2 linked regions of the Arabidopsis thaliana genome follow. The protein of the gene in region 2 interacts with the protein of the main gene of each other region in a biochemical or structural test. Each region holds a gene or a part of one and is shown on either strand. Other genes may lie near its edges.

Region 1 (3,775 bases), on a different chromosome or scaffold from region 2:
GGATGGCTGCAAATTTTCAACATCGTACTGCTTCATAAACGATATCAAATACGTGGAACTTAATTGTTGGTTAATAGAGGATAAGAAATGGGGTTCACAGAATTAAATTCACGCACACTTCATATATCTTGTTCCCTCCCAATTATCTGAACTATCTTCTTTTATCAAAAACTATATTCACAGGCTGCCGTGTACCTTCTCCATCCAAAGATGGCAACTATAGCTACTGGTCTTAACATTGCAACCCAGCGTGTCTTCGTCACCAGCGAGAATCGGCCAGTTTGTCTCGCCGGTCCGGTCCATTTGAACAATTCGTGGAATCTTGGGTCAAGAACAACTAACCGGATGATGAAACTTCAGCCGATTAAAGCAGCACCGGAAGGAGGGATATCGGACGTAGTGGAGAAAAGCATTAAGGAAGCTCAGGAGACTTGTGCGGGCGATCCTGTGAGTGGAGAGTGTGTAGCTGCGTGGGACGAGGTTGAAGAACTTAGCGCAGCAGCTAGCCATGCTAGAGACAAGAAGAAGGCTGATGGTTCGGACCCTTTGGAGGAATACTGCAAAGACAATCCTGAGACCAACGAGTGCCGTACTTACGACAACTGAAGCGATCAAGATCCTGTTCCGGATTCATACGTATACGACAAATCTTTGTTCCGGTCCATTTGGTAATGTCAGGTTATATAAATCATGTCTTTGAATCTGAATTAGCTCTAAAAACATTTGTAATTTGTAGTTCCATAAACGAATACAAAAGCCAAAATTTCATAACAGGTAATGCGCAGCGAATAATAAGAAAGCTTGAATTCAATAAGAAACACATTAGACACCAATTACATGAGACACAAGACTAGAGGACTGAGGCTACAAAACCATACAAAGACACGAACAAATTGAAATTGCATAAAGATTGCGTTGTCCATTGACAACACAAGACTCAATTCACCAATGACACACTAATTGTTACAACAAGGACAGTAAGTAAAACAGACCAAAGACTCGAACTCAATGCTTCATTTTTGATCCTTCAGATATGAATCATCCATCTTCAGCAATCAAACATATCAGCAGAAGCTCTGATTGGTTGCATTGGACAAGGCATCTGCCAAGGGTTCTGCATAGATTCAGGAATCTCAGGAATATCCAAAGCCTGACCACTAATTTCTTCAACCATCTCAAGCACAGAGTTCAATGATCTCAACCTATCCGTCAACTCCGAAGCCTGTGCCCTCAAGACATTGTTCTTAGACTCCATTTCAATGTATTTCTTTGAAGCTTCATCAACCTGCTCAGTGATTTTAGCGTTATCATTCTTGAGAAGAGTGACTTCGTTGATCAAATCACCAAGTTGCTTCTGTTTCCTCATCCTTGACCTCCGAGCAGATTCTCTGTTAGAGATCATTCTCTTCCTCTTCCTCTCATCCGTCACCGTGGCGTACCTCGGATCATTATCGGATTCAGGACTTGTTTGCATTTGCAACGACCCCATTTCTCGTTGACTTTTTGACTTCTTCTCACCAAAATTAAAATCAATATAATATTATTCTTCTTCTTCTAGAGATATTTTCCTATAAAAACCTCTCAAAAACACAATCTGAAAATCCCCGATTTCTAAATCTATCAAAGAATAAGTTAGATCAAAAACGAAAACTGAGATCGAGAACGATTACTTCATGAGAAAACGTAGGTGTAGTAGAGGTAAACGACGGAGAAAGAGTGTAGAATTCGAATCCGACGAAACAGGATTGAGTAGCTCATAGATTCATTCCTAATTTTGTTTTTTTTTCAAAATTCCCAAAAACCAAACCCTAGATCAAAACAAGCCTCTAAGCCAAATTTCCGATGAGAAAGAAAAAAACCTAGATCTAGATCTAGATCTGAGTGACAGAAGAGAAGGAAACGAATCAAAGAAAGGAGATGAATTATCTGAGAAACAAGAATTGTGGCTGAATCGAGAAGATTGATAAACGAAAAAAAGCTTATGATAGGATCAAAGGCCAAACGAAAGAAGGCGATAAAGTAACACCAAGCTTATCCTTTTAAAGGAGAAGATGGTGATGAGCTGTCCTAAGCCTTTTTCTTTATTTTTACAATATTTTAATAAAGGAAGATAATTAACTTTTGGTCATAAATCTTTTTATTTTGTTTTTTTTTAAAACGCAACTGGGGGAAACTGACGCCAGCTGTGACGCCGCCAGCTGGAATTTTATAAGGGAAGCACGTTTTGTTGAGGGAAGTTTCTCCGTCTGTTCACGGATGGAATATTCCACCAAGATGCCTCCTCAGAAAATATCAAATATTATTGCCAAGTGTTAATTAACTGAATATTATATATTTCTGAATTTGAAAATTTCCTCACGAAAGCAACGTCTAACACACAATTCATAAGCGTAATTATAAAACGACCATTAACTATAACGAAAGTCTACCAGATTGTTGTTTATATGCGGCTCTCTTTGGTTAAAACTTAAATGATGACGTGACGATTACATCATTTTATTGACACGATTTTAAATTACAAAACACAAGACTGAGTTGGGAAGTTGGCTCGTGGGCTTTATAATAGCCTTAATTCAGCTGATGGGCTTAGCTCTCCCTTACACACTCGAAAAATCCAGTTAGAGATAAGAAAAACGCCAAGCTTATGTCAACAAAAGTTTGATCTTTTTAAGATTACTTCTCTCACAATCTTCACAAACTAGATTCTGAGCTTATGCAAAGATTTAAGAGTGTGATACAAAAACAAACTCAGTTCTCTCATGTCAATAAATGGGATATGTTAAGATTTTGTTCAAGAGGGCTTGATACGAAGTTTGCATTTAGATGAATTTCTCGGTAGCATTAGGAGATCCAACATGATCTGAATCTTTGTGTCAGCTCTTATTATTGGCTTAAGCTGAACTTCCAAAAGCTCAAGACTTGGCAATTTCTCTAACATGTGCTTTATTTGCACCATTTCTCCAACAGTTCTCATGTTGAGGCAACAAACACTTGTTTGTTCAAACAAACTTGACCTGGACTTTGCATTTGGATGAAGCTCTCGGAAGCATTAGGAGATCCGCCAAGATCTGCAGCTTTCTGTCAATCTTCTTTGTCTTAACATGAATTTCCAACAGCACCAGACACAGCAAATTCTCCAAGACATACTCTACTTGCTCCATTTCTTCAATCTCTCCACCGAACTCAGTTATCTTTAGGATCTCAATAGGGCAGGACAAAAGGAAAGAATACCCATCCAAGCATTCGCAAACAGAGTTTTCATCCCCATAGCCATGATAATGCAAAGCCTGCAAAAAGACCGGAATTTTGAGATTGAAGATTTTGTGAGTTTCAATTCTTTTGTTTGTCCAATGAACTTTTGGGGTTTTTGGTCACCTCAATGGTGAGAGTCTTTAGATTTGGAGATTTTTCAAGAAGAATACGCAGATCATCCCAACAGATAGCGTCATGAGTACTAACTGATAAATGAAACAGGTTCTCAAACACTGGGACTGCTTCCCTGAAGACCCAAAACAGCTGGAACAGAATTGAAAAAAAAAAAAAAACTAGTCAGTCATAACTTCAATAAACATTCTAATGTATAGAAAGATTTTTTATTTTAATATCTCAGTGGAGAGCACTTACGTGCATCGTGTCAACAGCTCCTAAGCGCAGAATCTGAACATTTTTCAACCCCTTGATCAGATTCCTAACATTGTAGGTATCCCCAATATAAAGAGAAGGAAGTTCTAGCTTAGCTTCCACAAGGGAGTTGAGCTTAACAACTGGATAGCTA
Region 2 (4,731 bases):
TAGATTTAACCACAATAGCTTTCGACCGAATATCGTTGCTTGTCCCTCGATGATCATCTTCCTCGCCGGAATCACCATCACCGCCACCACCACCACCACTTTTTTTTTTCCCTCGTCTTCCTTGCATCCGGTAATCAAGACGTTCATCCAAATACAAAGCATAAGTCCGAACAAAAGCAGAGTAATCCCACGAATCAGACTGACTCGCATCTCTGAAATCAGACATGTTAAGCAATCTCGTTCCTCGTCTCGTCGCGAAGAAGATCTCTTGCTCGTAGGCTCTATCTCCATCTGTTAGCAACCGTTGGATCAAAATCAAGGTTTTGAGAGCAACCGACCAGTTCTTGGTCTTGTTGAGCCGTCGCGAGAGAGTTGCCACACAAGCGCTTACGTAATTGCGTGAGTAAGAAGTTAGGCATAAAATCTCTCTAATGTACTTGTCCTCCGCTGGATAGTCATCATGTCGCGTCGCTTTCACGACAGCTATTTCGAGTTCCGTTAAAGAACTGCTTCGACCACCGACTTTGGCTAATCCTACGCTTGTTTGATCTTTCACGGCTCCTATGGCACGTTTTAGCTTACTTGAACCCATTTTGACTTACGTACGCCGTTAAACAGAGGAAGAGAGAGGAGAAAAAAATTGGAAGAACGACGACTTTTTTCTTTCACTTGTTTGTCGTCGTCTCTTTTTCTCCTCTGTTTTTTTTTTTTGTGTTTTCTGACGAGAAAATGTGAATGCTTGATCGATCTACCATGGAAATCGCCGAGGTTGTCGGAATTTAATGATAGGGGAAATTAGTAAAGCCATGTGAGCTATCTTTTTTAAAATTGGATAAAAACAGATATACACTCTGTTATTAGCTATAAATAGAAAGACGATTCTCAAATAAGAATCTTGTAATGTTATAAGACAGAGCTTATATATATATATAAGCCATGAGACTGTATTTTCACAAGATGTTTTCTCATGATTCGTAACTTAATAACACTTACAAATTACAGATGCATAGACATTAATATAGTGCGAAACCCGCTTCTTGTTTGATCAGTCCACGCATTTTTTCGGCCTGTAAAATGAGCAAAAAAAGGGGAGACAGGAATCTGATATGTATAAACAGGGATCATAGTACTTCAAATGGTTTTAAATTGTTCAATGGTCTTAAAAGAAAGAGCCATGTTTTAGCTTACCATGCTGAATCGTTCTGAGGTTCGGTATTCCAGCCATACGGGTTGGCGCTTGGAGTAACATGGTGATTTTGCCCATTTCTAATTCTCTGCAAGGGAGAGCTGGTTTGGGATGGAGGAGCAGCGAAATTGTTTCCGAGTCTTGGAGGTAGAATGGTTGGGATCCCGATGTTTTGGTTTGACATATGGTTTAGGTTTGAGTGTGGTTGATAAGCTGGAATAATGCTAGAAGAATCCATCCTGTTGTTACCAGTTATTGGCATTCTGTTGTTGTTGTTATGTCCACTTGATCTTCCGAGAAGCATCGGATTCATTCCTGTTACTCTCTTCACGGTTTCTTCCGCCATTTTCACCTTAACATAACATGGGAGTTACTAAAACTGTATACAAAAAAAGGGTAGTTCAGAAAAAGGAGAGGAGGATAATACTTAAGTCTTCTTACCTTAGCTCTTAATGTCTCAATGTCAGCCTTTAGTATTCTATTGCCAACAGCAGCCTCGTCATACTTGTGATTCATGTTGCTCAGTTGTTTAAGAAGTGATGAATGCTCACCTTTTAGATCATTAACCTATCAAAATACAAATTAGGTCTCATTAATATCCTTCAACACAAAAATGAGGTGTTGAGAGGATACAACACAAAACCTGTGTTTCGAGGTCACTTGTTTGCTCCTGCTTTCTCCTTCTAGATCGCCTAGCTGACTCACGATTTGACAGCATCCTACAAATATTAAAAGGAAGAACAAGGCTCTATAAATGTAATCTTCAAACGACAAGAAATTGGAGAAAAAGTAATGATTACCTTCTAGATTTTTTAACGTCCTCTGGCTTCAAGGAACCGGTGGTTTCATTCTCTTCATCAAGGTCCTCGTCATCAGAATATTCTCTCGACGATCCACTAGTAACCTGCTTCATTGATACACCAGTTTTTTTCACCTCAGCTGGTAAGGAAGAAGTAACACCAAGTTCTCCTGGGGTCATCAAAGAACCTACCACGATTAAAACTTACTATGTCTAAGACTCAGAAGAGATATCTGAAAGAGAAAGACGAGCGCTGAAATAATGATTTCCCATATATTGAACTAACCACCAGAACTCATCTCAATCCCAAGCTTATTGTTCTTCCAGAAAGCAGTTTAATTTCAATGAGAAAGTCAGTCACAAAAAGATTGAAACTTGACGGATAAAACTAGGCGCTTGATCCAACAAAAGTACCATTTTCTATTTCTAATTCCTTAACCTAGGCATCTAAATTAACAAACACAGAACAGAGAAACGAATCTGCAGGTTTATCATCGCTCATCTATCCTGGTGAAACTAAGAAGAGACTCTTACCTTGAGTAAGAGGACTGGATTGAACTGGTTGAAGTTGAGTTTCTGGAGAACTAGTCGAATCTTCAGGCTTCACAGACCCAACCTAAGAAGAGAACATCAGAGCTTCAGATTTAGATCAAAACGCACAAATTACACATATAGATAAGAAAAATAGAAGATTAACAACACACCCGAAGAGAAACAACAGTAGCGCACTCAGTCTCAAGCTTGTTCTTAAGAACACGACGATAATCATCGGAATCAACAATCACCGTCTTCGTCGTCATGGGAGCAGCACAATCCAAATTTCCCGAATCGCGATCACGAAATCGACTATCATCCTCGAAATCATTCTGTCCGGAAACAGAAGGAAGAGATTGCGCCGAAGAAACACCGACGATCGCGTTGTTGTTGTTACCAAGTGGCTCAGAGCTCACCGCCGACGAAGAAATCTCTTCGAGAAACATCTCGAAAGTCCATTCCGGTTGACTCTGGCTAACTTCATCCGCCGTAACAGGCTTAGAAGAGTCGGGATTGAGAGGAATCGGAGGAGTTTCCCAGAAAGGATCGGAGAAATCGTCAATGGAGAAGATACTGTTCATCGCTCGCTCTCTTTTTCACTTTCTGATTCTTCTTTTTTTGTCGGTACTTTGCCTATTTGCATTTAGGTCCACCCACACAAGTATATTCTCTTTTTTTATTACGTACAATAAAATAAACATTTTTTCTTACACATTTCTGTTTTATTTCTTTACAATATTCTTTGAATAGTTTTTATAATTTAAATATCTATTGTATAACGTCCACTAATGTTTACATGAAAAAACGTAACAGTTTTTGCAAACATTGTTATTTAATTATTCTTCAAAGTTTGATTTATTCAATGAACAACGAAGTTGACATAAAACATTAGATTATATTTTAATTTATAAAAAAATACTATATTATACTGGTCATTAAAAATTTATAAAATGTCACCAGAAGCTAAACAAATAAATCACTAAGCTATATTACAAATTTACAATAGACAAGCCTAAATTATAAAAAAAAAATATATGGAGTTTTTTAAAAATCTAAATTTACCACAAAAAGCTTCTAAAAATAATTAACGAACTAGATCATTTTTTCGCGCCATATGTAAATTTAAACAGTCATTTTCAATTTTCATATATATGGAATTTACTCTCTATTTCTTTTTGACCTTAACATAGTGTCACCAATACCACAAATCACCACTATGTAGGCTATATTACAATAGAGAACGAACCAAAAGAATACAAAAAAACAAACCATATATATATTTTTCAAGCAATCCCCAGTTTTAATTATTGCAAAATTACAAGAATCTACACACATTTTTTTTTTTTTTGTGAAAGGGCTAAGAATCTACACACATAAATATACACACACAAGAAAAAACTTCTAAAAATAGTAATACAAAATTATAATGCCAAAGCTTCTTTCTTTTTTACTAGTTCTGCTTATTCTCCAAAGCTAATTGGTCATTGTTGATCAGAACAGAATTACCACTCTCATCCTCTGATTCATTCACATTTGTCTTCCTCCGCGGTGACCTTCCCTGTTCTATTCCTCCTCCTCCTCCTCCAGAGTTTCTCCGATCATCTTTAGAGACCAAGTCCTCAGCTTCAAGCATATGAATGATATGACCCATTTTTGGCCTCTTTTGAGCATTAGGATCAACACATCTTAAAGCTACCAAAAGGGTACGCTTCAATGACCTTAACGACGGTTTATCAACCATCCTCGGATCCAAAACTCCTTCCGCATCTCGATTCGTCACCAATCTCTTCAACCATTCCACAAGATTCACTTCTCCCGGAGCCCGGCTATAATCCACAGGACTTCTCCCTGAAATAATCTCCATAACAAGAACACCGAAGCTATAAACATCGCTCCTCTCATTCAACATTCCGGTACTCGCGTATTCAGGAGCCACATACCCAAACGTACCCATCACACGAGTAGTCACATAGCTCATCTCCGAACCCAAGAGCTTAGCTAACCCAAAGTCAGAAACTTTCGAGTTCCATTGCTTGTCAAGCAAGATATTACTCGATTTAATATCTCGGTGAACAACTTTAGGCTCAAGACCTTCGTGTAAATACATTAACCCTTTGGCTGTTCCAAGAACAATGTTCATCCTAATCTCCCAAGTAAGAGGACTCTTAAACCCCAAACCACCACCATGAATCCATTGTTCTAAATTCCCATT

Evidence for each region.
Region 1: the proteins of BZO2H1 (region 2) and BZIP53 form a complex in vitro, tested with the Arabidopsis thaliana proteins (one study listed by BioGRID).

Annotation. Positions count from the first base shown.
Region 1 is NC_003074.8:23,090,796-23,094,570, forward strand, and holds BZIP53 (basic region/leucine zipper motif 53), read right to left. Parts: upstream 2,056-3,775; 5' UTR 1,490-2,055; coding exon 1,049-1,489; 3' UTR 791-1,048; downstream 1-790. Other genes in the region: CP12-2 (CP12 domain-containing protein 2), read left to right, coding at 211-606; AT3G62430 (Protein with RNI-like/FBD-like domain), read right to left, coding at 3,000-3,287, 3,376-3,516, 3,625-3,775.
Region 2 is NC_003075.7:1,152,400-1,157,130, reverse strand, and holds BZO2H1 (bZIP transcription factor family protein), read right to left. Parts: upstream 3,178-4,731; 5' UTR 3,101-3,177; coding exon 2,690-3,100; intron 2,602-2,689; coding exon 2,520-2,601; intron 2,174-2,519; coding exon 1,987-2,173; intron 1,906-1,986; coding exon 1,830-1,905; intron 1,754-1,829; coding exon 1,628-1,753; intron 1,539-1,627; coding exon 1,189-1,538; coding exon of another isoform or gene 1,185-1,188; exon of another isoform or gene 1,068-1,184; coding exon 1,046-1,067; 3' UTR 775-1,045; downstream 1-774. Other genes in the region: AT4G02650 (ENTH/ANTH/VHS superfamily protein), read right to left, coding at 1-592; AT4G02630 (Protein kinase superfamily protein), read right to left, coding at 3,970-4,731. UniProt on the Arabidopsis thaliana protein: Transcription factor that binds to the C-box-like motif (5'-TGCTGACGTCA-3') and G-box-like motif (5'-CCACGTGGCC-3'), ABRE elements, of gene promoters. Binds to the 5'-ACGT-3' motif of seed storage protein (SSP) encoding gene promoters (e.g.